Linked DNA regions of Coturnix japonica. The protein of the gene in region 2 interacts with the protein of the main gene of each other region in a pairwise test. Links are inferred from orthologs where the notes say so. Each region holds a gene or a part of one and is shown on either strand. Other genes may lie near its edges. The genes, in order: cytochrome c, SNCA, ARFGAP1, USP8, CSNK1D, ARFGAP3 and BCL2L1.

Region 1 (4,175 bases), on a different chromosome or scaffold from region 2:
GTGTTGATAATGTGCCAATGTTTTAGCTGTTTCTGTGTAGACAGAATCAAGGACACTTCTGCAAGCAAGCAAGCTGGCGGTGTGTAAGTTGATAGGAGGGGGCAGAGCCAGCACAGCTAACCCTGACAGACCAAGGGGATATTCCATATCATGTGTCATCATATTCAGCAATAACAATGTGGGGGAAAAGGAGGAAAGGGGTATTTTCAGAGTTACGTTGGGTCTTCCCAAGAACCCAATATGTGTGATGAAGTTCTGCTTTCACAGAAACGGCTGAAAATCTGCCTGTCGGTGGAAAACAGTGAATTAATTCCTTATTTTTCTTTGCTTGCTTATGCAGCTTTTGCTTGACCTATTAAACAGTATTTGCCTCAAGCCATAAGTATTTTTCACTTTTGCCTTCCTGATTCTCTTCCCCACCTCTCTGTGGAGAGTGAGTGAGCAGCTGGGTTGCTTGCCTGTCTACCAGGGTTAAATCACACTTTAATCTTTTCAATAATGGCAAAATATACATTGAGTGCAGTCCAGATATTCAGTCTAATAACACATTTTTCAATTGAAAAAGGTATATTTGTCAAAAAAAAAAGGAGAAGATATGTATCACAAAACTGAGAAGTAAACCATGATCTCCTGAGTTCCAGCCTAGTCCCAAGATGGCGATCTTTGCTCTTTCATCTGCTGTGTAACTCTGAAGAGAACTGGCTGGATGTTTTGTTATATTTCCTCTAATACTTTGATATATATTTGTTCTATTTTCCCTTCTTTCAGAACGAAATTACACTGCAATAAGCCTGACTGCAAAATCATCATCATTCCAGTCTGAAATGGTCTGAAGTAATAAAAAGATGAAGTTGTTTGAGGTACAACCACTGCGAATAACTGAAAGCTTAAAACACAGCTGTTCCAAGCAAACCACATCCAGGTCAACGTCCCAATTAATGTTATTACATTAAAGTTATTACATCTAGAAAAGTCACAGTGCACTGAAAATATCCTTCCATATATAATATATATAATATCTGGGACTCTGGTTTCAGACTGGAGTTCAGCACTGGCACAAGTCCAGGTGATCTCTTCATTCAGCTGCCCTGGAGATCCGTGAATGTCCCCACACGTCATAAGCAGAGCAGTTTTATTGTGGTAACTTTACTTCTGGTAGCGGTGTTTAACGTTAACACCTCACAGCGGGGAGACACTGAATACCCCGATGACGTCACGGACACAGCCCAGACCCCGCCCCCCGCTGAGGACAGAGCGTGACCCTCACCTCCCCTTCCGTTGTGCGCATGCGCCGCAGACCCTCCCGCGTTCCCCTTTACGTAGCGCAGTTCCGCCACACGACTTCCGCCGGAAGTAGTAGGACAGGGAGCCCGGCGCCCGCCTTTGCAACCTACCCTGCTAGTCACCGACGTCGTGACGTAAGCATTGACGGACAGATGTTACAACCAATCAAAATTCCAGCAGGCTGCATTTGATTGGCTACTGAGCCACAGAGGGCGGGTGGAGTACCGGCGCCGTTTGGTTGCAGCGACACCGGGTTACATAGGGCGGAGTCCGGCGTGTCCTTGGGCACAGCAGCCGGACGGCGCGGGGCGGTCGGAGCTGCAGTCAGCTGTGTGGGTGCGGTGTGAGCGGAGCGGCCGGCTGGGCAGGTACAGGCGGGCGGGGTGTGCGGGTGATCAGGGCCTGATTTCCAAGCGGCGCTGTCTGGGTCTGGAGCCACTACTTGGCCCGGCCGTTAGGCGGGATTGGGGCGATAAGGGACGGGGCAGTGCGGCTCTGACCCTGCTCACACTGCGGCCTTGAGGATCCCTCAGCTGGCAGCGGAAGGTCACGGCGGGGCCTGCTCTGCGGGAATTAGATGAGGCGTGTTTCTTGTTCTTCAGGCATAAAGCGTGGCACCTTAATAGTGTAATGGTTCTATGCAAATCTTCAAACCCTAGAGCTATAACTCGTGGCTAGAAGGCACTCAGAGTTCACAGATTGGTTTACAAAACTGTAGCTACAGCCCATCGCTGTGAACCTTTTTAAAGCTTCTGTTGAATAGCTGACCTTGATATTGTGATACTGACCTCTGTATGTGTTCTTGGTCTAGTACCGACGATGGGAGATATTGAGAAGGGCAAGAAGATTTTTGTCCAGAAATGTTCCCAGTGCCATACGGTTGAAAAAGGAGGCAAACACAAGACTGGACCCAACCTTCACGGCCTGTTTGGACGCAAAACAGGGCAAGCTGAGGGTTTCTCTTACACAGATGCCAATAAGAACAAAGGTAAATGTAAAGCAGCTCCTCCTGAGCTACTGGTGGTTCTTGGGGATAGTCAGAAGTACTGAAACCTGCAGAAAGCAAAAATAATATTCAGGCTGGACATTAGGAAGTATTACTTCTCGGAAAGGGTAGTCAGGCACTGGAATGCACTGCCCAGGGAGGTGGTGGAGTTACCAGCCATGGGAGTATTCAAGAAACGCTTGGATGTGGCACTGAGGAATATGATTTAGCCAGGAAGTATTGGTAATGGTTGGACTAGATGATCTTCTAGGTCTTTTCCAATCTTGATAATTCTGTGATTCTGTAATATGAGTGAGCAGGAAAAAAATATATATATTCATTTCATTTTGAAGTCACTGCTTGTCTATTTCTTCTTGCCAGGTATCACTTGGGGTGAGGACACCCTGATGGAGTATTTGGAAAACCCAAAGAAGTACATCCCAGGAACAAAGATGATTTTTGCGGGTATCAAGAAGAAGTCTGAGAGAGTAGATTTAATAGCGTATCTCAAAGATGCCACTAAAAAGTAAAAGTTATCTGCTGCCTTATTTATTTCACGTAGGAGTTGGCAATGGAAATGTCTGTGACAAGATTGGTTTTTAAACTTTCTATTTTTACATATACCATGTCTAACCTTAAAATCAGTTTTACCCATCAGATGATGTTGCTCATGGTGGGTCACTGAAGAACACACTTGGCAGCCGTTAACTTATGAAAACTATGTAACTGGGTTGATTTCAATGAGTATAATGTTCAGTTGTTCTTAATCATGAAATTAAAAACAAAAAAAAAATATATCCTGCCTCTTTATTGTTTAACACACAAAAAATGTATCAAACAAGTGTCAAAAGTGTTAATAGCTTTGACAACCCTACTCTTCAGAATGAAAAAGCAGAGTGGGTCTTGGCATCTTTCACTATAAGTCTTCTGCTGTGTTACACTAAAGATTTAAAAGTAAAGAAAGACTTAACAATATTTTTCTAAACTTGATCAGTTTTAGGTGTTGTGGTGCGTATTAATCTATCTAAAGCTTGGGGTAAGAATGCATCTCTCAAGTGCTGTTTGTTCAATGACACTTGTGCCCAGATCCTTTGATCTAGGAGAAACATGTTACTTGATTTATCTCGACTTTCACAGTTGCATGCACCAGTAGACTAGAATTCTCCAGCATCATCTTTAAGTCTTCTTGAATGTTATTGAAACTCTCTGTTCAGTACATCTCCGGAGGGCAAACGTTTGTAGTATAATGAATGAAAGAAGAAACACTTCTTCTGGAAAGGTAACTACTAAAAGCCAAGATGAGAGCTGATAAATCTTATTTCAGCAGTAGCATTCACCTAAAACCTACTGTTACACACAGCTGCTGATGGAGACGCACAGCAATGAATGCACTGGTAGACTAATGGGAAACAGTCTTCTTCTGTGCCTGGCTATAGCGTGTGTCATTAACAGTGTTGAGTAATATTTTAGTGTTTTAATTGTTTAGTGTTTTTTTCATGCTAAGCAAACTGTTCAGATGAATGTATTTACTGTGTATCAACAGTAAGGCACAACTTAGAGTGATCAATCTTGTACATTAAAAGAATTCAAAGTCCTGTTGGCTGTATGTGTCTGAAACCGAAATGGTGGGGTCATATGGGCTTTATGTCACTACAGGATGAGCAAAAACTCAGCGTGAAAAAAGTAAGTGCTAATAGAGATTGTGTGAAAGGTACTTGGAAGTGTGGCAGAGTTAGGAAGTATTTTGAACTAGAAGCAGCAAAGCTAGGCTGGGTAGGCAGAATATTGAAATGGAAGCATGTAAAGTTGTCACTTATTGAGGTTAGTATGAATGCAAGTACCCGGGTGGTACTTCTTTGTTGGTTTCTTTGTTAGGTTTTCGATTTGTTTGTGGAAGGGGATGTAA
Region 2 (4,195 bases):
CTATGTAGTGGGAAACATCCTAAAGAACAATCAGCATTGACTTTGCCAGGGATCCTTTGGACGGCCTCATCTGAAGTCTCTGATCACCTACTCATCTATTGTCTCTGAGTAGAAATGCACTGCTGCTGTGTTGGCTTCCGTACCACTTGAGCTGTTGCTTTTCAGAGTATGGATTTACTTAAGGTCCCAGGGGGACAGAGCTGCTTTCCACTCAAACACTGACTATCTAGCCAGACAAAGTCATTAATTTGAGATGTTATTGTTGCTCATGTAAAATGTGTTATTTCTGCAATTTCAACCTTGACTGCAAGTAAAGTGTAGCTCATGATGAATAGGATGTGCAATTGCTGGATCATTTGCTAAGGATTTTCTGGAGAGCAGAATTATGAAGGAATGGTTTGTGTTCTCAGTCAGCACCTTCTCACACAAAAAAATACATTTCACCAAATGTTTGCTTGGTTAAATGTAGTAGTGGAATGAATCCCAAGGAAGATTACCAAGCGGTAAAGAAACATTAAGAAACCTGAAAAAGAGAAAACTCTGCACTGTGTGCTCAGAATGGAAATAAAAGCAGGAACCTGTCTGCTGTCTGCCCAGTATGATGGATGGAAGGTGCTTTGTGCAGCTCACATCCCTGTGTCTCATCTGTACCAAGCTCTGCTTCTCCTTTGGAGCGCAATGACAGAACAAACTGTTTTTGCAAGGTTTTGCAGGATCTGTACAGCATGCTGACTGATGTACTGATGCTGAAGGTCCATCTGTTCTAATACCTTGTTTTCCACTGAATTTGGCTTTTCATGCCTACGCTCTGCAGCAATGCAGAGAAGTGACATTGCCTTCCCTTTCTGGGGAAAAGTGACTTGAGTGTAACAGACCAAGAGGGGAAATGCAGTGGCTCTGGTCTGTACAATGGAGACCAACAGGTGTGAGGCTGGGCTTCTCATCCTTGTTTAGACAAAGATTTTATTATATTATGCTGTGGGGTTAAGGATCTTGTTTTACCTACAAGAGTATTACCTGCCATCCTTAAAAATGAGCTGGGAGCGTGAATCCTGAGAGCGTTCACCTCAAGTCACTCCGGCCTGAAGGCTTACGAGAGGAAGATAAGTAACCAAGAGCTCGGGGGCGTTTTCTGAGCCGTGGGTGAAGCGAAACAGGTGTGCTGAATTCACTAGCAACAGCTTGCTCGCATTGCTTCTGAGTGCTGTGATTCAGCCGCCGGGGCGAACAGCGGACAGGTGGTGCCACGAGATGACCAGGACCTCAGCCTCCCCTCTTCTTTCCTATCCTTACCTCCCACCCCCACGTCACGACGCATACCCGACCCGCAGCACATTCCCACCCAGAAGGGGATGGAGGCTGGGAGCCGCCCCACCGCCCCCGGCCCCTCCTCCTACCGCCCCCGCCCCGCACCCTGCCTCTCCTTCACACTCGCTGCCTGCCTTGCTGCCGTCGGGAGAGTTGGCGATGTGCTGAGAAGGGGCAGCTCCCATCAGGTCTCTCTGCGCTTCGCCCTCCTCCTGCCCTGCCTCCCCCCGCCTTCCTGCAGCGGCGGACCCAGCGGTAGGTGGTGGGGAGTGCATGAGAGGCTCTGCTCGCCCTGGGGCTGGGCAGCCGCAGGGGTGGGTGTGCGGACAGGTGCATTTGTCGCTCAACGTGTTCTCCTTTGGGCACGAAGGAGGAAGGGAACGGGAGGGGAAACCAGCGGGCGCCGCGGCTGCCGTGTGAGGGAGCCGCTGGGTGCTTATGTGCTCACGTAGCCCTGCCCTTCTCCTCGGATAGTCCGTATAGATACAGACACATACATGTGGGAGAGCCCTGCGCGTTCTTTCTTCCTTCCTCCACAGGTGCCCATTCTTTTATTTAGACTGAGCCACGTAGCCATGTACTGCTTTCTTCCCTCGCTCTGCACCCAGGTGCTCCCACACCTGCTCTCGGTGCTGCCTACGGTGTCAGTGGGGCACGGATTCTGCCCTTCTGATTGCCACGGGTTAGTAGCAAGCTCCCCACTGTCTTCCTAGACATCCCTTCCTCCGGCGGAGGGAAAGAACTAGCAGGCAGTGCATCTTCTGGGAGGGGGAGGGGGAGAAAGGGAAGGGGCTGTCGGCGACGGGATTGTGAAAGGGGTGTCTTGCTGGCTTTAATTACTGTCTTTGTGGCCTAATTGTAGCGTAGGGCTGTATAACTGCCACAGAACCTACTTGCTAGCTGTAGTGTGGTGTTATTAGTGTAGCATGTTCTTGCCTTTGCTTTTTTTTTTTTTTCCTCCTTAGTCTTGATGCATGTGCAGGATCCCTTTTGAAAGCTCAAGTGCTGGCAGAGCAATATGGGCTGCATGCAAAATGCTGGGTTGCTGGAAAGCAGTTTTGTGTTTGCTCAAGTCCTTCTGGAACATTAGTGGTTCTTCAAACAACAATGAGCGAACGTTTCTCATTTAGAAGAAGCGTTTGTAAAGTTGTTAGTTTTTAAGTTTTTCCTTTGAATGAGAAGGTGGAGCATCAGCGAATGATGGGATTAGATCTTGTAGTTAATAGACAAGAAACTGTCCTTTGGAGGAGATGGTGGTAGGCAAGGAATGGATTTGTTCCTTTCAGTGAGTGCAACTTCAAATGAGAACTGCGTTATCAGTGACCTTTCTGTACGTTTCTGTGGGAACTCCTGGGCCTTTCAGGGACTACCTTAGCCATACTGCTTAACTTGAACTTGCTCTGTGGTAGCATGTGAGATGTAAAGGTGAGTTGTGTAATGGAGCTCCTTTGTTTTCTAGTTATTTAACTGTTTTTTGTCTATCTGAAATACTGAAAGCGATCCTAGATACAGAGAGGTATGTGTATATTGCTAATACGGATGTAGATGGAAGTTATATAATATGTGAGTATAAATAATGTATTTCAAAAGTATTTTGATGTGCAATCAGTTTTAATAAAATTTTCTGGCAAAAAAAAAAAAAAAAAGCTGAGAACCATTATTTAAAGTGTGTTTGGTATTGTTTTTTTTTTTTTCTAGTGTTGTGTGAAGAAATCCTTCAGCCATGGATGTCTTCATGAAGGGACTTAACAAGGCAAAGGAAGGGGTTGTAGCAGCAGCAGAAAAAACCAAGCAGGGAGTGGCAGAAGCAGCAGGAAAGACGAAAGAGGGAGTCCTCTATGTGGGTAGGTGGGCAGTGAGGTTGTGCTGCTGATTGGTGTACCCTGACAGCCCCGCTCATCTGAAAGAAAGAGCTGAATTCTCTCTCTTCTCTGAAATATGTAATCACTCATAGGAGAGGATTAACTGCAAAGTAAACATGATGAGATTTGAACTCTCCTGAGCATAGGGTCTTTGACGATTGTTGCTTGTTTGTTTGATTGCTGTTTGTTGTGTGTCATGTATTTTTTTTTGGTTCTTGTCACTGTGTGTGCTGGTCATATGGGGCTGCATTTGTAATGTTGTACAGGATAAACTTGCCTGTTGGAAGAGGCCTTACAATGCAAGTTACTGACTGGCCCTATTTAAGATGCTTGCTATATGGGAGGTAAATTCACAGAATCCTGTAGAATGCCTGAGTTTTAAGCAGGATTTTTAAAGAAAAAACTTGAGATGTTGGTTCTGGAACTGAATCTAAGACGTGCCAATGTCTTTTCCTGGAGTAGAAGGAAGATAACTGTACACCCCATAGAAAGGAGCTTGTTTTCTTTCTTCACTAAATAAAGGTCCTCAGCAGTAACATTTTGAATGGTGAGGTGTCAGCTCCTTGTTTTTCAAAGTTAACCTAATGTTCTATACTTACTATTGCATATCCTCAGCAGCTATTTTCCATGGCTACTCAAAGAAGAACCTTTACGGTCACTGAGACAGTGGAGAAAGTGGGAAGCAGATGTTAGTTGACTTACCCAGACTATGCGAGTACTTTGCATGGAACCCGGGGAAAGATTCTTTTCAAATCTCACATTGGACTGTTGACGACACAATCATCGTCTTCACTTAGAAACTACCAGGCCTTAAAGTACTGTCTCATAAATGCCATAGTGAAAAATGAACAGGAAAAAAGCTGCCAAGAACATATGAATAGGTCATTTAAACTGGAGGAATTCCATTTTATTTTTTTTAAGTTAATTTCAGTTGCATGGTAGTAGAATAGGAAGGAAAATACACTCTTTTCTGTAGATTCGTTCTTTTTTTATGATTTGGCAGCAAGTCAATTCTGTAATGGATG
Region 3 (4,199 bases), on a different chromosome or scaffold from region 2:
GCAGGGACAAAAAAAAAAAGTTTGGGGGTACAGAAATGTTAATAAACACTCTCAAAGCATGGAAAGAAAGAGTGTCTTAAGAAGGCGGTCAAATCCTCACTGAAATAAGCAAAAATAAAGTACTGGCACTTGAAAGACACTGTCAAGAGAAGGAAAGTGATAGAAAAAGCAGCTTTCTCCAATGAGCCAGGAAACCTACCATGCTATGTAAAAGAAAACTTCACTTGGCAGCTTTGCTTTCCCATCTACTTTCAATATTACATGTGAGTGCCCTGCAAGGCACCTCCTGCCCCTGCTTCATGCTTCTGCTCACAATGACCACCAGGTATGACAACTCAACTGCTTAATGCAGCCTATGCTAACACCTACCATGACCTCATCCCAGAGCATTCATGACTGCAATAAACACGTCAGCTCTACCCTGGGCCATAAATTCTTGCTACTGTTCATTAAGTTATATACAAAAAAACAGAGTGCTATTATTAAATGTAAGGTCGTAACCTCCAGCTGGAGATGCTGCTTTCTAGACCTGGGCACGACACAGCTGCACCAATGCAGATCCCAGCTAATTCCAGTGAAGGCAGAGAGAATAAAGCTCACTTTGGAAAGGAGCACAAAGCAGAAGTGCCCAAGAAATGCTGAAACTGAAGATATTCTGCACCCCTCCATAATAATCCTTTCTGTTCACAGCCATAAAACCCCCAAAGGAAACCCAAGTGCAGGGCTGACCTGAGGTGGACTCCCAGGCCTCGGTGCTTTCCTGAGCACTCCAGACAGATCCAGATTCCATAGGTCACACTCACCCACTGGGGGTTAAACGCACCGCATTCAAAACAGACCTGCAAGAGAGAAAACAATCATTTCTAACTCGTAACCAGCTCTCACCCACACGGAAGTTCCCAAAGTACAATATTTGGTCATGAAACTGTCGTGTGCAGGAATTAAGTTCAGCAGGGAAAGTTCTTTGTGCTGGAACCACCACCCCAGGAGCATAAGCTTCCCTTAAATGTTTATTTATGCTGAATGGAAAGCCCTCAATTACCTGAGCTGTATTATAAAATCACCACATACCAAACACCAGTAGGGAAAGACATAAACAAAATGAAGCTGTCTGAGGGCTATCACATTTAAGGCAGCATTCTATCAAGCTATTTGAAATAGACAGTTTAATTATACCCAAGACATCACTTGCTTGGACTCCAGGGCTTACAGCACTCAGAGCCCCTGAAAGCCTTGTGCCAAACACACAGCCATGTGTTACAATACATCTACGAATCAATGTTACTAGGGCTAATGCAAACACAATACATCCATATTTCTCTGCTACCATTACTTAGATATACAAGCACAGACACAGGTTAGTTTGTATGGACAGCAACTAGATGTGGAGCAAACAGAAAGACAATTCAGCTCTGGGAAACTACAGTAAGTTACAGTTTTCTCACATTGTTCTCATCTTGGGCTCTGACTTCCTTGAGAACTTTCCTCGTTCTTGGACTTGCCATGATTCTACAAAAGAAGAATAACAAGATCTGAGTCATACTGAAGTGACTACCTGTGAATAGAACAGCGTAAATGCAATTACACACACCAACAGGTGAGACAACAGGGCTCAGAAAGAAATAAGGTACAATAAAGGAGAGGGTGTATGAACCAGGTATGTTTTATGGACCAAGCCAATGCCTGCACCACTCAATTGGTCACAGACTGCACAAGTTTCAAACCCATCAAGGTTTGCTTTGAGAGCAGTAATCAGACAGTACACGACCTGAGTTTCCATAGTAGGAACTTCTAGCATGCTAAAAGCAGCACTATGTAAACTGGTGTGAGCTGTGACAGGACTCTATATGGCATGGCTGAGATTGGATGAGAGCTCTCAGATCCACAACCCAACACCACACCCAGTAACCACATCCCTGAGTGCCACATCTTCATGTTGGGCATCTCTATGGATGGAAACCCCCCCCAACACACACATACACACACAACTACATCATTGAGTGCCACATCTCCATGTTGGGCATCTCTATGGATGGGAACCCCCCCCAACACACACACACAGCTACATCCCTGAGTGCTACATCACCATGTTGGACATCTCTATGGACAATAACCCCCCCCAACACACACATACACACATACTACTACATCATTGAGTGCCACATCTCCATGTTGGGCATCTCTATGGACGAGAACCCCCCCAACACACACATACACACACAACTACATCCCTGAGTGCCACATCTCTATGTTGGGCATCTCTATGGATGGGAACCCCCCCCCAACACACACATACACACATACTACTACATCATTGAGTGCCACATCTCCATGTTGGGCATCTCTATGGATGGGAACCCCCCCCAACACACACACACACACACAGCTACATCCCTGAGTGCTACATCACCATGTTGGACATCTCTATGGACAGTAACCCCCCCCAACACACACACACCAGCATCACCGCTCCTAAACATCCCCTAACGCCCAACCTGAATCACCATGAAGCCATATGGAGCTGCCCCGACTAACAGAACAGCTGTCATAGTGTTATTACACCCTATAGGGGCTGCTCACCGAGCACAGCGGGTCGGGCTGTTCCTCCACCGAGAGCTGCGCCGTGCGGATCCGAGGCGAGTCCGGGAGAAGCCGCTTCAGAACATGGTCAGACACCTCTAAAATAAGAAAAGCAAAAAGAGAGAGATAGATAGAACAGAAGGACTAAACGGGGCCCGGAATGGAACGAACGCACAGCGCAGCCGCGAACGGCGACGTTGCAAAACAGGGATGGATTGTGGGAGCCGGGTTAACCCGTTGTGTGCCGGGCGGGGCGGAGCTTGGGGCGGAGCTGAGACGTGGCGGTGTGAGAGGTGTGATGCTTTCTATTCGTTACTATCGGTACATAAGAGATTAACAAGAGCTATTTCCATTAGCAGCTACACGCAGAGCAGCCCCTGCATCAATGAGATGATAACGGGACCATCAGCGAGTGCGTCCAAAAGGGGGAGAAGTGAAACGTAAAGAAAATCCTGCTTTGATCATTTGCTCTTCCAAGTTAAGGACAAAGTGGGCTCTATTTGATAAGAGCTGTTGTTTTCAGGTAAACACGGACCGGTGGTCAATGAGGTTCCCATCACACACACTGTATGATGAGATCTAATGAGAATATTCATCTCAGTTTTGCTGTCGATAGAAGCAGTGGCTGTGTGCTCACATCCCACGTTCGGTACTTGCACTCACAGCCTCAGGGGAGCAGTGTTGGGTAACGTTTTCCATCTATAGTGATGCTGCGCTGAGTTCCTGATGGCAGCTGTTTGCTTCGTGTCCCAAACGCACACTTTGGTCTTCCTGGACCCAAAAATACTGCTACCAACCAAGCAGTGCTGCTGTGTTCACACTGCAAGCTGCCCCCAGCCAGCAGTCAGCATTAACCTGTTGTGTGCTGAGATGGAAGGTGCAAAGTCTGGTTTTCAGCAGGAATGAAGGGAAGCCACATGCATCTGCCTCCCTTAGTAAGCATATAAGTGCACGCCATTCCAATTTGGGCTGGCTGCATAGCTCTCATCCCATCTCTGCAAAATACCTATTGTAAGATAATATATGACACCATACTAATCACATTTACAAAGGCGTCCTTCACTGTATTCCCAACTCATCCCTTTCTCTAGTTACAAACTGGCTCTGTCATGAAATTGCAAATGCTTTTTGCACTGCTGTCATTGCTGTGGTTGTTATGCCCAGAGTCACCCACAGACGAAATGCAGCGAGGAACAAATTATAGGGTAACATAACAGAAGATAAGGCAGGGACAGCAGTGGGTATTGCCACTGGATGTGGAAATGCAGCTGGGAGCACATGGAGCTGGGAATGCTTGTTGGTGTATGTGCTTGCACCACCAGTATGTCACTGAGACATCTTTTGTGTTTCTGCAGTGACATTTCATAGCTGGAGTCAAAGGAAAGCTGCTCTCGCCCTTCTGGATCTTCTTGTGTCCTATCATTTGAGAAATGCAACTGTTGCATGGCAGCCTCAGGCGATCACTCGGTGTCAATACCCATAGACTTTAGCAGCTGCATTGAATTACTTCTTGGTCATGCTGCCTCATGAAATTGCAGCTGGAAATGTGGCTGCAATCATGCCAGGGACTCAGATTGCAGGGCAGCAATGTCAGCTGCCACAGCTCACTTCTCCAATGG
Region 4 (3,500 bases), on a different chromosome or scaffold from region 2:
TTCATGTTAAATTCTACCTCACTTTAATTTTCAAAGTCATTATTGTAAGAAGAGACCATGCTATGCTCATAGCTGTTTGGGTTTCTTTTATTTTGCCACATTCATCTGCAAAAAAATTGTGAGACTTTCACTAGAAATTTCCATGTGCTCCTCATGGCATTAACAATTGTTCCACACTCATTTCTCATCTCACGTGTACTGTTTCGTACTAGTTGGGAAGGGAGATCTTTGCTGTGTGTTTAACAAAAGCACGTATTTCTAACAGAGTGGCTTAACTATGGGAGGAGTGGAGTGGTCAGGCTACTGCAAAGCTGAATTGTCTTTTTCCTGGAGCATGTCAGCATAGGGCTTTTGTCTACCTTGAGTGGTATGAAATAGTGGTACCATGTTACCATTTTCATGTCCTACCATGAGTTGCGTTTTCAGCTGTCACGAAGGAATTCTCATTGAACTGCTTTGCATTCGATCGTGCAGCTATGTAGAGAAGTCACAGGCAGCCCACTGCTCTGTGCAGGTAACTGTACGTGCCTTACATTTCTGTTGTCTTTATTAGTCTCAGCGGGAGCCATTGATCAGAGCGCGAAGTGAAGAAATGGGGAGGATAATACCAGGACTGCCTGAAGGATGGGCCAAGGTAACTTTCTATTCTGATGTCATAATCGAGCTTGTGCAATATCCTAGCGCCTTTCGGCGCCACATTTTAAAGTCACATCTGTATTGTTGTCTCTTTGATTTATTTTCTGACTTTTTTTCTGGATTTCCTGTAATGAAATCAGGGAAGCTCATCTGCTGATTGTAGTATTGAGGAGTTGCTGTTTAGATGCACATTGGACAGTAACTACTGTTAAGGCTTCAGCGTTTAAGAAACTCATGTATTATTCCTACAGTACTTCAGAAATGGGTAGGGTTTGTAATAGATCTTGACCTCGTTTTAAAACTCCTTTTTTTTCCTCCCCAAAGTTTCTGGATCCAATCACTGGAACCTTTCGTTACTATCACTCACCAACGAACACCGTTCAGATGTACCCACCAGAAATGGCTCCTTCATCCACCCCTCCAGCCACCCCGCCAACCCACAAACCCAAACCGCAGGTGGCTGCCGAGCGGGAACGAGAACCCTCCAAATTGAAGCGCTCGTACTCATCCCCAGATATAACGCAAGCCATTCACGAGGAGGAGAAGAAAAGAATTCCTGTAACTCCTGCGGTCAATCGTGAAAATAAGTATGTTTGATAACTTATATCCCAATTTAGGCAATTATAGCTTGTTGTGGGATGACAGTTGCTCGTTAGGTATTTGTGTTAATGTATGAAATACCAGTCTCCTGGCATTTTCAGTCTGTGAAACACAGCATTCTTAATGTTTAAATGGGAAGAATTAGCTGTTAATTACATAATTAACTAAAATAAATAAATAAGTACTGTTTTAGTCCATACCTCAACCTGGCTGTAGGCCAATGTATCTGGATTTGTCGCTGTTTCATTAACTGGTCTTCAGTAAACTGAATGATGTCATTGGGGTGACTTGTTGTGCTCAGATGTTTCGCCGCCTGTGAGGGAATTTGCTTCTGGTGGGTTGTGCGCGTGGTTTTATCAACTCTCAGACTGCTAAAAAATAAATGAATCCTTCTTTTCAGACCAATCTATTACCCTAAAACAGAAATCTCAAGACTCTCTGCATCACAGATTAGGAACCTTAATCCCGTGTTTGGGGGATCGGGACCAGCTCTTACAGGACTTCGTAATCTAGGGAACACTTGCTACATGAACTCCATATTACAGTGTCTGTGCAACGCACCTCATCTAGCTGAGTATTTTAACAGAAACTTGTATCAAGATGATATTAACAGGTAACGATCTCTCATACTCATCCTTTTATTTGCAGTTGTTTTGTTTTATTTGCAAGTGTTTTGTTAATTAACAATTGTAAAGTCAGATGAGTAGAGCTGCAGATTTTTTCCAGGGATTTCTCAGAATTCAGTAGTGGGTCAGAAGAGGCTTTTTTGGGCAGCCTGAACTAAATTCTGCTGAGTGCATTCATACATAAGTGTTGGTTGTGTTTAGTTGACTGTAATGCACTTCCACAGCAGCTGGCATAGCAAGGTGGGAATAGCGATGCCTTCTATCGGACCAATGTTGAATATTCAAATTATAGCATAGATGTAGGCAGAAATTTCAATTCAGACTAACAGCTTTTTTTGTTTTTATTGGATCTGTTTCATTGTATAGGTCCAATTTCTTGGGGCATAAAGGTGAAGTGGCTGAAGAGTTTGGAGTAATAATGAAAGCCTTGTGGACAGGACAGTATAAATATATCAGTCCAAAAGACTTCAAAATTACAATTGGGAAGATTAACGACCAGTTTGCAGGATACAGCCAGCAAGACTCCCAGGAGCTGCTTCTCTTTCTAATGGACGGTTTGCACGAAGACCTCAATAAAGTAAGCCAAATACATTACAAGTTGTACATCTGCTAAATGAGCATGAGAAATAAAACATAAAATGCCTTACGAAGCACTAGCACACAGCTTAAATCCTCCTGTACAAATGGAGTTGCCTTTTGGGTATGGTTGAAAGAGCCAGCACAAATGCATGTTAAGCTCCCCATGGAGCTTTAATGGCACAGAAACGGCTCTTTGGAGACAAAGTCCCAATTCTGTGACATCCCTCTGGCTGGCAAGTCTTACATTACCAACATGGCTTGCTGTTATGGCTGTGTAGCAGGTGACTTTTGGAAGAAAACAGGATCAATCCCAAAGCAGAAGTTTAAAATCTGCATTAGTTTGCAGCGGATACATATTGCTGCTTCTGTTATTGCAATGTCGTATAGAAGGAAATTAAGTATTTGGGATTATAGAATTCAGTTTTGTAAAGCGTAAGATATTGATGGGAACAGTGGAAGAGAGCTCAGGCAAGAAGGCTGTCCTGACACATTTGAATGTCATTTAAATGTTCTTCCTTATTTTTAAAGTACGTTAATATACTGCTAAGGTATTCCAACATCTGTTATACAGGCTGACAACAGGAAAAGATACAAGGAAGAAAACAACGATCATCTCGATGACCTGAGAGCAGCAGAACTGGCCTGGCAGAAGCACAAACAGCTCAACGAATCCATTATTGTGGCACTTTTCCAAGGCCAGTTCAAATCGACAGTGCAGTGTCTCACGTGTCACAAGAAGTCCCGGACCTTTGAGGCTTTCATGTATTTGTCTTTACCACTTGCATCCACCAGTAAATGCACACTGCAGGTAAGGTGACACTAGAGACAAACATTGAAAACATTTCCCTTTGGCTTTGTTATGATGCTTCCCAGGGTGGTTGTGGTTGTCCCTTGTTGGACAGGGATGTGGTCCGGGACAAGCAGCAGGAGGTGGCCCAGTTGGCTCCAGGTGACCCTTCAGTTTTCAGTGCTCCCACTTAATTTGCACCAACCTGAAATGTGAACAGATCTGAGTCTGTTGCTGTTTAATTCTTCTAAATTAACAAAAATAGATCGTAT
Region 5 (3,500 bases), on a different chromosome or scaffold from region 2:
ACCGGGATGCCCGAACTCACCAACATATCCCATATCGTGAAAACAAAAACCTAACAGGAACTGCCCGTTATGCATCCATCAACACTCATCTTGGAATTGGTGAGCTGGGAAAAGCAATGAATAGAACCTTCACAAGTGCTGATACATGTGTTTTCAGTGCAAGTTGATGATGCTTTTTGGGGCATAGAAGACAGACCCTATTGCTGGCACTCATGACACATTGTGCTTGGACTTATGCCTCTTGGGGTGGGGTTCAGTTTGTAATTCTAAGGAATTGACACATTTCTTTAATAATTGCAAGTGTGATCGTTTGTTTTTTTTTTCTAATACTGGGTGAGTTTGACACAGATGTAGTGATTTTCATCTGTCTGTTGTATTTTAAGGGTTTTTGACACATTATTGCTCAGTCTTCTGTTTTTTCCCACTAGATAATGAAACCTAATGAGTCCACTTTTTTATGCTGTTGTAGAGCAATCTCGCAGAGATGACTTGGAGTCCTTGGGCTATGTACTGATGTATTTTAACCTGGGCTCCCTCCCCTGGCAGGGACTGAAAGCAGCAACAAAGAGACAGAAATACGAACGTATCAGTGAAAAGAAAATGTCTACACCCATTGAGGTTTTGTGTAAAGGATATCCTTGTAAGTTGCTCTTTTATGTCACTAGGCCCATGTATTCATTTTTTAGTGGTATGTCTTTTTTATTTATGCTTTCTAGCTCCTCTGTCACAATGTGTTTGGAGCCTGTTTACAGTCTTCTTGACTTTTTTCCTACAACTGGGCATGCTCATAATAATGACACCGTGCTTTCAAGACCAGGATCTGTCTGTTCGTAGGCTGTTTCTACTTAGCCTCTGTCATAACTATTAGTAAGCAATCACTGTGGTGCTCTTGAGTTTGAAAGACAGCATAGTGTGTGTATGTGATCTGCACTGTCTTGTGTGTGCATGCATAAATTCTGGCAGGATGATTATTAACAGCCAAATAACTTTTTGAGAAGCTTCCCATCTCTTCATGTGTGGATATTCTTTCTGGATAAACCAGATTGTACAGTCATTTGCATCTATTGCAATTGTGTTGTTCTGGAATTGTCATTCCAAGTTCATCCAGTCCAGCCTGACCGTGGCCATTATCTGTGAGGGGTGTAAGAATCCCTCCAGATCCTGGCATCATCCCTCAAAGCTCAGTTTCTTTTCTTGGTGTTTACACCCTAGTAATAAAAAAGAATTTCTGATTCATGCAGAGTAATAACTATGTTTCAAAACTTGTTAATGTATTAGTTACCCTCAGGGAATATTGTTCACCTTTCAGGAAGTGATCTCTCTCTCTTCTTTCCTTGCCCTGTGCTGTGTTAGCTAAGTATGATGAGAATTGTAGCTATGGTGAGGGATGTATGAAAGCTTTTGAGTGTTCCAAAAGTCCTGTCGTGCATGTTCCTTTACTCATAAACTATTTCTTTCCTCTGGGATGAACAGACAAGATGGCAAACAACACAAGAACAGTTGCCTAAAATTCCTTACTTAATGTGAATTATTAATACATCATTTTAGGTGGAAAGCCTTAAAGTCAAGAGCTGGTAGATTGACACTGGTGTATCTCTGGAGCACTGAATACACAATAATGTTCTGTTTTTACTGCATAGCTGGTATTTTAGCAAAGAGATTCTATTCTGTGTACATTAAGTTTAAGTACATTCAGAGCAAGGAAAGGACAAGTAAATCTTTCCTTTGCTGAAATGTAGTTTTAAACTTTCTTCTTCCTCCTAACACAGTCCTACCTGCTATGGATAAATGGAGCCTTCGCCTAATCTGTGATAGACAATTTTCTTTTCAGACCATACTTGGCAGGGGGGATGTAGTGTTGCTTTCAGTAGATTTCTAGTACTATGTCAGTATTTGTATGTTTGGGAGGTTCTGTGTCGTGGTTGTTATTTTTTTAATGATTCTGAGCCATAAAAACCAAATATGAAGCTGAAGGAGAAAAACAGGCTTTCTTTTATTACAGCTGAATTTGCCACATACTTGAACTTCTGCCGTTCTCTTCGTTTTGATGACAAACCTGACTATTCCTACCTAAGGCAGTTATTCAGAAACCTCTTCCACAGACAAGGCTTCTCCTATGACTATGTGTTTGACTGGAACATGCTGAAATTTGTGAGTAGCTGGTGTGGCTTTCTAAAACAATTTTTTGTAATGCTATTTTTTTTAATCACACTGTCAGTTTTGGGTTCTTAACTGATACCTTAAGAGTGTTCTGTCCCAGAAGGTTTGTTGCCCTAAAAATGAGGGGAGGGAGGAAGTAGAGAAAAGCAGGACATAAAGGAGGCTTTAGATTGGGATTTAATGACGAAGTTGTAGTTACAGGATTGTCAGTGTAGTAGGCTTCCTAAGCTGCTTCCTTTGAGGCAGTTGCCACATTGGGTAGCTGACTTCTTATTTTTACCTGTCTTGATCTTTATCACATCTCACATACAACAGTTTAGGAAGTGTCCAATTGCCATAACAGTATGTGTGTGTTTATTAGCGATTTGAACTATCCCAGTGATTGTATGAACTGAATCTATGATAGTTCTCAAGAAATTTTACCAAGGTATTGGTAACCTATCAAACAAGTTCCTCAAACTTCAGTTCTTCGTTGTCAATATTTATTCAAATGTATAGTTGTAAGCTCAATAATCCTTTAAGTTGTTCACTAGTCCTGACCCGTAGGGTGCAAGCAGAGGGGCTGAAGATGCTGAACGTGAAAGGAGAGAACGAGAGGAGAGGCTGAGACATACACGAAACCCAGCTGTGCGTGGATTGCCCTCCACTGCTTCTGGCAGGCTGAGGGGAACGCAAGATGTAGCTCCTCCTACTCCTCTTACCCCAACTTCACATGCTGGTAAGTAAGCAAATATATGGGCTGACGCACCTCCCAGTCTGCTTTAATATGCAGTTTGTTCCTGGTCATTGGAATTTGAAAATAAAATAAGGATATGGGAGTGGTGTTTGAGTGAGTCAGCATTTGGACTTTTTTGTTTCATGCAATCATAGAATGGCCTGGGTTGAAAAGGGCCACAATGGTCATCCAGTTTCAACCCCCCTGTGATGTGCAGGGTCGCCAACTACCAGACCAGGCTGCCCAGAGTCACATCCAGCCTGGCCTGATTGTTTTTTGTTTTTCCCTTTTAATTTTCCGTAGATTGAAGGTAATTACACACACTCATTACCTGCTAATTGCTACTTAGAGTTATCTGCGAATATAAGATGAAAGCCTTGATTTCTCTGGTTTGATCTTGTAGAATTTACATGCGCCAACAGCGTAATTTTTCCAGTGACTGCATTTTTATTACATGCCTCATTCTGAAAATTCTAATGCAATTTTTCTCACAGCCAACACATCTCCTCGACCGGTGTCTGGTATGGAACGAGAAAGAAAAGTGAGTATGAGGTTGCACCGTGGTGCCCCAGTCAATGTCTCATCGTCTGACTTAACAGGCCGACAAGACACCTCTCGCATGTCC
Region 6 (3,500 bases), on a different chromosome or scaffold from region 2:
TTATTTTTTTACAAAGTCTAGTATTTGCGCACTGGTTTTACATTTGACATTCTAACCTTCAGTTATCTGGATTTGCTGACCCTATCAGAAACTTGTTTACCATGTTTTACTGTAATGGTCTGATATTTTCTTTTATGCAAGAACATATGATGTAATTTGCTAGTTAGTTCTAGGTACTGAAAAACATGCCTAGCTTTTCCATGTTTTGATCTTACAAACAAATTTTGTATGTGTATGTAAATAAGCATGTAAAAAGAGAGTGCGTATCTATATGTACGCACACACGGAAGTGTAGTTGTTGTTGTTTTTAAAGGAAGACCATTTCTGTATAATCATTTTGATGCTATTGAATCATAGTATTGTCAAGTGACTTGGGTTGGAAGAAATGCTTATCCAGTTCCAGCCCCCTGCTGCAGGAAGGGCTGCCAACCCTCAACCAGTTCAGGCTACCCCGGGCCCCACCCCACCTGGGCTTGGATGCCTCCAGGGATGGGGCACCACAGCTTCTCTGGGTAGCTGTTCAAGGGCCTCACTGCCCTCTGAGTAAAGAATTTCCTTCTAACATCTGACCTCAATCTCCACTTTTGTTTAAAGCCAGTCCACCTTGTCCTATTGCTATCTGCCCATGTAAAAAGTCAGTTGAACATACATTGTTCTCCCTAGCATGCTTGAAATGAAGCCAAGCAATGTCTTTTAGAATACCAGAAACATCTTTTGAAGCAAAGCTGTTGGCAGTCAGTTACCTCTTCCTTTCTTCAGTTCTTAGATTCAGAGATAGGAATAATTCTGTATGATTTGAATTGTATATACTTGTAGAAGGTCCCACTAATGTGTTTGTTTTTGTTGCTTTATGTGTCCATATGTTGCCATAATGGAATTTTCTTCTTGTTTTGGAGATTTACATGGACTTCATAGTTTAGAAAATTTAGATACAGGAGGAGAGCATTTTTCTGCATTAAGGTGTGTATTGATGTTAAGTGGCATTTGTTTCAAAATTTGTTTCTTATTGCATTTTATATGTTTTGCTTCATAGTCTGCTTTCTTCCATCAACATGGATGCACAACAAATGACACCAATGCAAAGTATAACAGTCGAGCTGCTCAGCTTTACAAGGAGAAGATTAAATCTCTTGCAACACAAGCAACAAGAAAGCATGGTACTGATGTAAGTCAAGTGTGCCCTCATTTAGATTTCTGAAACACTTCCCACTCCTTAACCACCACCTTAAATTTCTAATTAGCAATGTGGAAGATGATTGTTTTGGAAGTACTGCTACATATTGTCATGAAAGGGCAAGAAGTGGAGTAGGTTATTTGCAGCAGATATTGAGGGTAGAGCTCAACCCAATAATTCAGAATCACTTCTGGATTACTCAAAATGTTAATTGTATCATTTACAGTAACTTAGAAGAATTGCAGGTGGAAACTTCAGGTATTCTTCCAAATGGGTATTACTTTGTTTCACAGATGTACTGCAAAATTGTATTTGTGCTATTGTGCAATAAATATGCCAGCTCTTCTCCACGAATTACGATTAGCTTTGCCTTTCTGGAGCTGAATTATTACTTAGAAGTACAGAATTGTAAAAACATAGAAGCGCCAATAGCTATCTATAAAATAGTTGTGATTTTAGCAGGGTTTTGGCTTGAATAGGTAAATTTTGTATGAAAATGGTACTTGAAAAATTCTCAAATGACATGCTTTGAGCATGCTGTTCTGTTAGAAGTGCTGATGCAGTTCAGTCATGCTGTCAGAGCCTTGAAATTACATTGCTTACAGGAAGAAGTCGTTAGTGAACTGTGCAGTGTACGAGATTGCTGAGGTGTTAAGTAAGTTTGACACAATTCTGTTTTGCGTACACAGAATGAATGCTTTGATGGTTTAATTCAGTGTGTTCAAGTCCATGACTTGACTTCATTTGAAGTTGATCAGATGAGTGGGAATTAGAAAAAAAGCACAATATGCTTTTCTTGCTTTTTTTCTTTCTTTCAGTCTGTACATAATGCAGCATGAAATTTAGTGAGTTATAATAACCCTATGTAACGATATTACATTTAACATGATTCACATCACTGATTTCAGAGAATTCTTTTACTTTAGATATAAAACAAGTAAGCTTAATATACTATTTGCATTTAAATAGGCATCCAGTTCCCCAAATGACACTTGAAAGAACTGTGTTAACCTTCGATTACCGAATTTTTGGATGAAATCTGTATTAATAGTTTATTTCTTACATAAAAAAAATAGTAAATATATTTCTGAATATACTACAGGCTTAAGTGATGATGTGCTGTCTGTGTTGTTGAAGTGTGTCATTCAGTAATTAGTGTTTGTACCAGTCACATTAAAAGAAATTCATTTGCTGGTTCAATTGGTTATTCAGTAATGAGGTAATCTTGTTGCATATTTCGTAACCTTTTTGGAAGTGGTCCTTATTTTCAGTACAATGTCTTTTGCATGTATTAGAAAGAACCTTCTAAACTTGGAATGTAGATCACAAGTTCAGGTATTGTCTTGCAGGGTTCCAAGAATGACCTGAAGCACTTAGGGCTCTGCGGCCTATCCTGAGAACTCTTAGCATCTCGCAAAAGCTTTCTGTAGGTGTAGTAGAGGTTTTGGAACTCTTAGACCAAGTGGGACAATTCATCGAAGTACCAAACCATGGTATTTTCTTAGTGTTTGGTTTTTTTGTTCTTATATGAGAATATGAAAAAACTTTAGGATCAAGTTCTAGTGATATCAAATATTAATAATATCACTGCAGCAGAGCTTATACCGAGTATTTTGTTAGGTAGGAAATGGTTACTGGGAAGGAAGATACCACAGACATGGAATCAAGACAAGGAATGTCATATACTCCAATAAATTTGTAAGGATGAAGTACTTAGGAAAAGAAAATCACTGAATTTTTAACCTGATTTAAAAAAAAGAAAAGGTAGTTTTAAGATAAGTGCGCTTATACCTTAATACCTTAATGCAACTGTCCTGTAAAATTAATAATCTCCTCCTTCACCTTGATCCTCTTTCTAAACACTTGTAGCTGTGGACAGATGGATGCGGAATGCCACCTGCATCACCTCAGCACAAGGAAGAGGACTTTTTTGCATCCCATGCTTCTTCCAAGGTATAGGTTGATTCTACTTTGCTTTCTAAATGTATTAGGATAACTGTGTGTTCTGTTGCAAGGATTAAGACCCTGAAAGAAAATCTTAAACAGTAGGTTGTTGAGCTAAACTCATTTATCTTCTCATCCTTCAGTGGGTCTTGGAGTTATTCCTGAATATGAATGACTTTCTGTGATGATAATTCAGAATTACCTAAATAATAACTAAATGTGGAGCAAAACCATTTTTCTTAGGCACGCAATTCCACTTGGACTCATGACTGAGCCATTTGATGTGAGAGTGCCCTGGTTTAAATTTACTAAGTGAAAACTTCAGTTTATAATCAGTATAGTGTTCCTAAAACATTGGCTAAGCAGGTACTTTATTCCTTCC
Region 7 (3,971 bases), on a different chromosome or scaffold from region 2:
TAGCAGCCCAAGGAACCGGCTGGGTTATTTATAGGCAGGTAACCTCTGCTTATTATTAGATAAACTGACGTTCAAGCAACACAAAGAGCAGTATAACCATAGCCAATGTGACAGCAATGGCCTCACCAAGGGGCACCAATGGCCTCATCCTGACCCTTTTACTTCAATACCGAAGCATCAAATCCCTTTTCTCCCCCATTTCAGACACTGCTTTCTCCCCTTCCCCCCTCAGAGCCGTTCACAGCGTCAGGCTGCGGCCTACCCCCAACAAGCGGACAAAGGGGCCCAAAGCAGAACAGCAGCCCGTGCTGCCGGTACCGAGGCACACTCATGAAGCGGGGACAACACCAGGAAGGGCTGTGTGCGGCTGTGGGCAGCCCCGGTTGCCGTTGATTCCCGGTGTCCCCCCCCGTTCCTCACTCACCTCAGCGCCGCAGCCGCCGAGCGCGGGGCTTCTGCCCGCCGCCGTTAGAGGATTTCAAACGGGACTCGTCTTGTCCGAATGGACCAATCAACGCTCAGCTCACGCCCTCGTTGCGTGTTGATTGGACGGGCTGTCCAGACGTTAAAGAACCCGGATGAGCGCTCCCGCCCCTCCCGCGGGGGATGATGGGAAATGTAGGATTCGAACGGAAGGAACCGAAGCCTCAGCACCAGAAACAAACTGCTACTCCCATCATGCACAGGGAGAGAAAGGCTTCGACCAATCAGGGGAGGCGGGGCTCTGAAACAGCCAATCAGCTGCAGGGAGGCGGGTCTACCAGGCAGGGCCGGTTCCGCCCGTGTCTGCCCTCTGCCGAGTCTGCTCCTTGTTACCAACAGGTCAAGTCACCCGATTACAGCAGCCATAAGGATCCCCCCGCCCAGCCCCTCACTAACCTCACACCGCCCTCTATGGCCATGGATTCAAGCAGCCGCCTCATCCAGCCCTATGGCCACACCGGCCTTTCCCCGGCTGCAGCTCAGCTCCGAGTCACAGCCCCGAGTGCTGCGGGAACACAACGCACCTGCGGGCGGGGCAGCCGCCAGGGGGCGCTCGAGTCCAACCGGCCTCCTTGTCGCTGCGCATGCGCACTGCCACGGCCGCACAACGCACGCAGGCGCATGCGCACCGCACCTCAGACCGGCGGCGCCGCACGCATGCGCGCTGCCCCCTCCCTCCCTCCCGCCCCCCCCGGCTCGGCCCAGCAGCGCAATGTCCGCTCGGTGCTGATGCGGCGGGACACCGGGCACTGCTGACAGGCCCGACGGCCGGCTGGGCTCCCGGCCGAGCCCTGCGTCGTCACCGGTTGGGCCCATAGAGCGGGATCGGTCACAGCCCGGACCATCCACCGACCGCTGAGGTGAGGGGCGGAGCGGGGCAGGCCGTGAGTGACGGGCGGTTCCACCAATCAAAGCAGGCCGTTCTCTAGCTCCGCCCTCTCGGAGCTGTGGCGGCCGGTGATTGGCTGATGGCGAGGGGCGGGCTGTGTGCCCTATGGCGGCCCTCGTGTGCGGGCCCCGTGAGTGGGGACGGCGGCCGAGAGGGGCCATGGGAGCGGGTACGGCCTACAGCAACACCGGTACGAGGGGACCGGAGTGACGGCACTAAGGAAGCCGGGCTGTACGGCGAGACCCTGCCATAGTACCGGGGGGGAGCTCTTTGTTCAGCCGCCCTGTGGGTGCAGCACCCCGGGCTCTGCATCCTGCTGCCCCCAGCTCAGTGCTCCATGCATTGCATTGTATTGCATTGCATTGCATTGCATTACATTGCATTGCATTGTATTGTATTGCATTGCATTGTATTGTATTGTACTGCATTGTATTGCATTGCATTGCCCTGCAGCCCTTACCTGTGCCCCAGTCCTGCCCCACACTCTGACTCACCGCCAGGCTTTGGCACGAAAACCTTACAAAGAAACGCCAATTACTCAGAGCTCAACGCCGCCAGCAGAGGAGCGGCCCCTGCTTCCTTCATACATCAGAACGCTTCGTTATCTGCCTTTTGGAGAAGGAAAAGGCTCCACAACAGTGGGACCTCCCAGGGGCTGGCAGGGCTGGGGGCACCAGGAGGGCACGGAGCCTTGGCACTGAATAGGAGGGAGGGTAGGAGGGGTGGAGTGGGATGAGAGCACAGTGGGAGGGCTGGGGAGTTGCCTCCTCTCAGCGTCAAATTACTTTAATCCAACACCCTCAGCCAGAAGGAACGAGCTGCTGTTTCCCAGCCCGAGCTGCTATTTCCCAGGCTTTTCTCTGCCCTTTTTCTCAGGGTTGGGGTGTGGGTGAGTATAGAACAGTGACTCTGTGCTTTGTGCAGCCCTGCCTGCCCGCTGCTATGGGGCTTCGGGAGGAGCAGCCCCTCCGTGCTTTCCTTGCAGCCCCCAGGGTGGGGGGAATGCATTGCATGAAGGCTGCTGGGGTGCATGCAGGGACTGTAATACCTCGTGGGGAGGAGGGGCTGTGCAGAGGAAACAGCATTCAAACGACTGCAGGGACCTCAGTTTAAATAACATTACAAACAAACACCCTTTATTTCATCTGTGGTTTCATCTGCGTGTAGTTGCTGGAAGTCTTTAGAAGACTTCTCCTGGGGTTGTTCCTGTTCCTACCTTATTTCCAGGCCTGCTCCTCATACCGTGATACTGCACTGAGCCCTGCCATTCCCTTCTCCTCCAAAGGAGACCCCCGCACCTCTTACCTGCTGCTTTTAAAGGACACTTGGAGCCTTTCTCCCTCCCGTTCCCCCACGCTGGGGGCCGTTCCGAGGGACACGGGGCCGGGCCGAGCCACCGGGGATGGGAACGGGAAGCGGAGCCCGTAACCCAGCTCGGACACCGTCGGTCCCGCTGGGCAATGCCGGCGGGGGGCGCGGCCGGGCCCTTTAACGGGAGGGGCCGGGCGGGGGCGGTGCTGCCTCCGCCTCCGTGTCTCTCCGGGACTGACGGAGCGGAGCGGGGCCGGGCCGCCCGCAGCACCCGCAGCTCTCAGCCTCCGCCCGGCGAGCCCCGGCTCTGCCTGAGCCCGGTGAGCCCCGGGGCTGCGGGAGGGCTGAGGGTGACCCCGAGGGGGGATCCCCGTTCCGTGTGCGGCGGCGGTTCCGAGCGAAGCTGGGTGATGAGCTCAGTGTAACGTTAAGCTATTGATGTGCACGGCGCAGCAAGCTGTCGTGTTAACCGTTTCCTTGCCTCTCTTTTCCTCTCTGTGTGTCTGTGCAAAGGTCGGATGTGTTCGCCGGTGGTGAGGGAGCGTGGAGCCGGGAGCTGCTAAGTGTGCTTATCTGCTCGTGCACTGGACCATGGACTCATTGAGGGCGTTCCAGGTGTGAAAATGTCCGGCAGTAACCGGGACTTAGTGATTGACTTTGTTTCCTACAAGCTCTCGCAGAAGGGGCACTGCTGGAGCGAGCTGGAGGAAGAGGATGAGAACAGGACTGACACTGCGGCAGAGGCAGAGATGGACAGCGTCCTCAACGGGAGCCCATCGTGGCACCCGCCTGCCGGCCACGTAGTGAATGGAGCCACCGTGCACCGGAGCAGCATGGAAGTTCATGAAATCGTCGGAGCATCTGACGTGAGGCAGGCGCTGAGAGAAGCAGGGGATGAGTTTGAGCTGAGGTACAGGAGGGCTTTCAGCGACCTCACCTCCCAGCTCCACATCACCCCTGGCACGGCGTACCAGAGCTTCGAGCAGGTAGTCAATGAACTCTTCCACGATGGTGTGAACTGGGGGCGCATTGTGGCTTTCTTCTCCTTCGGAGGGGCTCTGTGCGTGGAGAGCGTGGACAAGGAGATGCGGGTACTGGTGGGACGCATTGTGTCTTGGATGACCACGTACTTGACCGACCATCTAGATCCCTGGATCCAGGAGAATGGCGGCTGGGTAAGAACTGCTCTCCCATAGGGATGGCTCCCTGCATCCTAGCTCAAGGCCAGATCAAGCTGCCTGCAGTGATTGTGCTTGTGCTCGGTCTAGACCTTGCAGGGCAAGAATTT

What was found.
Region 1: the proteins of SNCA (region 2) and cytochrome c interact in binary tests that used the Homo sapiens proteins (3 or more experiments, as listed by UniProt). The link is inferred for Coturnix japonica from reciprocal best matches to the Homo sapiens genes SNCA and CYCS.
Region 3: the proteins of SNCA (region 2) and ARFGAP1 interact in binary tests that used the Homo sapiens proteins (3 or more experiments, as listed by UniProt). The link is inferred for Coturnix japonica from reciprocal best matches to the Homo sapiens genes SNCA and ARFGAP1.
Region 4: the proteins of SNCA (region 2) and USP8 interact in a two-hybrid assay, tested with the Homo sapiens proteins (2 studies listed by BioGRID, with this or other methods). The link is inferred for Coturnix japonica from reciprocal best matches to the Homo sapiens genes SNCA and USP8.
Region 5: the proteins of SNCA (region 2) and CSNK1D interact in binary tests that used the Homo sapiens proteins (3 or more experiments, as listed by UniProt). The link is inferred for Coturnix japonica from reciprocal best matches to the Homo sapiens genes SNCA and CSNK1D.
Region 6: the proteins of SNCA (region 2) and ARFGAP3 interact in binary tests that used the Homo sapiens proteins (3 or more experiments, as listed by UniProt). The link is inferred for Coturnix japonica from reciprocal best matches to the Homo sapiens genes SNCA and ARFGAP3.
Region 7: the proteins of SNCA (region 2) and BCL2L1 interact in binary tests that used the Homo sapiens proteins (3 or more experiments, as listed by UniProt). The link is inferred for Coturnix japonica from reciprocal best matches to the Homo sapiens genes SNCA and BCL2L1.

Annotation. Positions count from the first base shown.
Region 1 is NC_029517.1:29,070,673-29,074,847, reverse strand, and holds cytochrome c, read left to right. Parts: upstream 1-1,375; 5' UTR 1,376-1,652; intron 1,653-2,095; 5' UTR 2,096-2,103; coding exon 2,104-2,272; intron 2,273-2,650; coding exon 2,651-2,799; 3' UTR 2,800-3,863; downstream 3,864-4,175. UniProt on the Homo sapiens protein: Electron carrier protein. The oxidized form of the cytochrome c heme group can accept an electron from the heme group of the cytochrome c1 subunit of cytochrome reductase.
Region 2 is NC_029519.1:31,290,067-31,294,261, reverse strand, and holds the start of SNCA (alpha-synuclein), read left to right. Parts: upstream 1-1,395; 5' UTR 1,396-1,563; intron 1,564-1,826; exon of another isoform or gene 1,827-1,847; intron 1,848-3,006; 5' UTR 3,007-3,031; coding exon 3,032-3,152; intron 3,153-4,195. UniProt on the Homo sapiens protein: Neuronal protein that plays several roles in synaptic activity such as regulation of synaptic vesicle trafficking and subsequent neurotransmitter release.
Region 3 is NC_029535.1:7,875,794-7,879,992, reverse strand, and holds the start of ARFGAP1 (ADP-ribosylation factor GTPase-activating protein 1), read right to left. Parts: upstream 2,801-4,199; 5' UTR 2,581-2,800; intron 1,510-2,580; 5' UTR 1,506-1,509; coding exon 1,446-1,505; intron 840-1,445; coding exon 730-839; intron 1-729. UniProt on the Homo sapiens protein: GTPase-activating protein (GAP) for the ADP ribosylation factor 1 (ARF1). Involved in membrane trafficking and /or vesicle transport.
Region 4 is NC_029525.1:9,615,978-9,619,477, reverse strand, and holds part of USP8 (ubiquitin carboxyl-terminal hydrolase 8), read left to right. Parts: intron 1-553; coding exon 554-634; intron 635-960; coding exon 961-1,223; intron 1,224-1,636; coding exon 1,637-1,849; intron 1,850-2,228; coding exon 2,229-2,439; intron 2,440-3,012; coding exon 3,013-3,249; intron 3,250-3,500. UniProt on the Homo sapiens protein: Hydrolase that can remove conjugated ubiquitin from proteins and therefore plays an important regulatory role at the level of protein turnover by preventing degradation. Converts both 'Lys-48' an 'Lys-63'-linked ubiquitin chains.
Region 5 is NC_029533.1:4,236,074-4,239,573, forward strand, and holds part of CSNK1D (casein kinase I), read left to right. Parts: coding exon 1-99; intron 100-469; coding exon 470-640; intron 641-2,002; coding exon 2,003-2,151; intron 2,152-2,706; coding exon 2,707-2,878; intron 2,879-3,369; coding exon 3,370-3,500. UniProt on the Homo sapiens protein: Essential serine/threonine-protein kinase that regulates diverse cellular growth and survival processes including Wnt signaling, DNA repair and circadian rhythms. It can phosphorylate a large number of proteins.
Region 6 is NC_029516.1:62,853,434-62,856,933, reverse strand, and holds part of ARFGAP3 (ADP-ribosylation factor GTPase-activating protein 3), read left to right. Parts: intron 1-1,033; coding exon 1,034-1,165; intron 1,166-3,043; coding exon 3,044-3,127; intron 3,128-3,500.
Region 7 is NC_029535.1:9,011,652-9,015,622, forward strand, and holds the start of BCL2L1 (bcl-2-like protein 1), read left to right. Parts: upstream 1-1,171; 5' UTR 1,172-1,343; intron 1,344-2,136; exon of another isoform or gene 2,137-2,261; intron 2,262-2,677; exon of another isoform or gene 2,678-2,807; intron 2,808-2,885; exon of another isoform or gene 2,886-3,003; intron 3,004-3,196; 5' UTR 3,197-3,306; coding exon 3,307-3,858; intron 3,859-3,971. UniProt on the Homo sapiens protein: Potent inhibitor of cell death. Inhibits activation of caspases. Appears to regulate cell death by blocking the voltage-dependent anion channel (VDAC) by binding to it and preventing the release of the caspase activator, CYC1, from the mitochondrial membrane.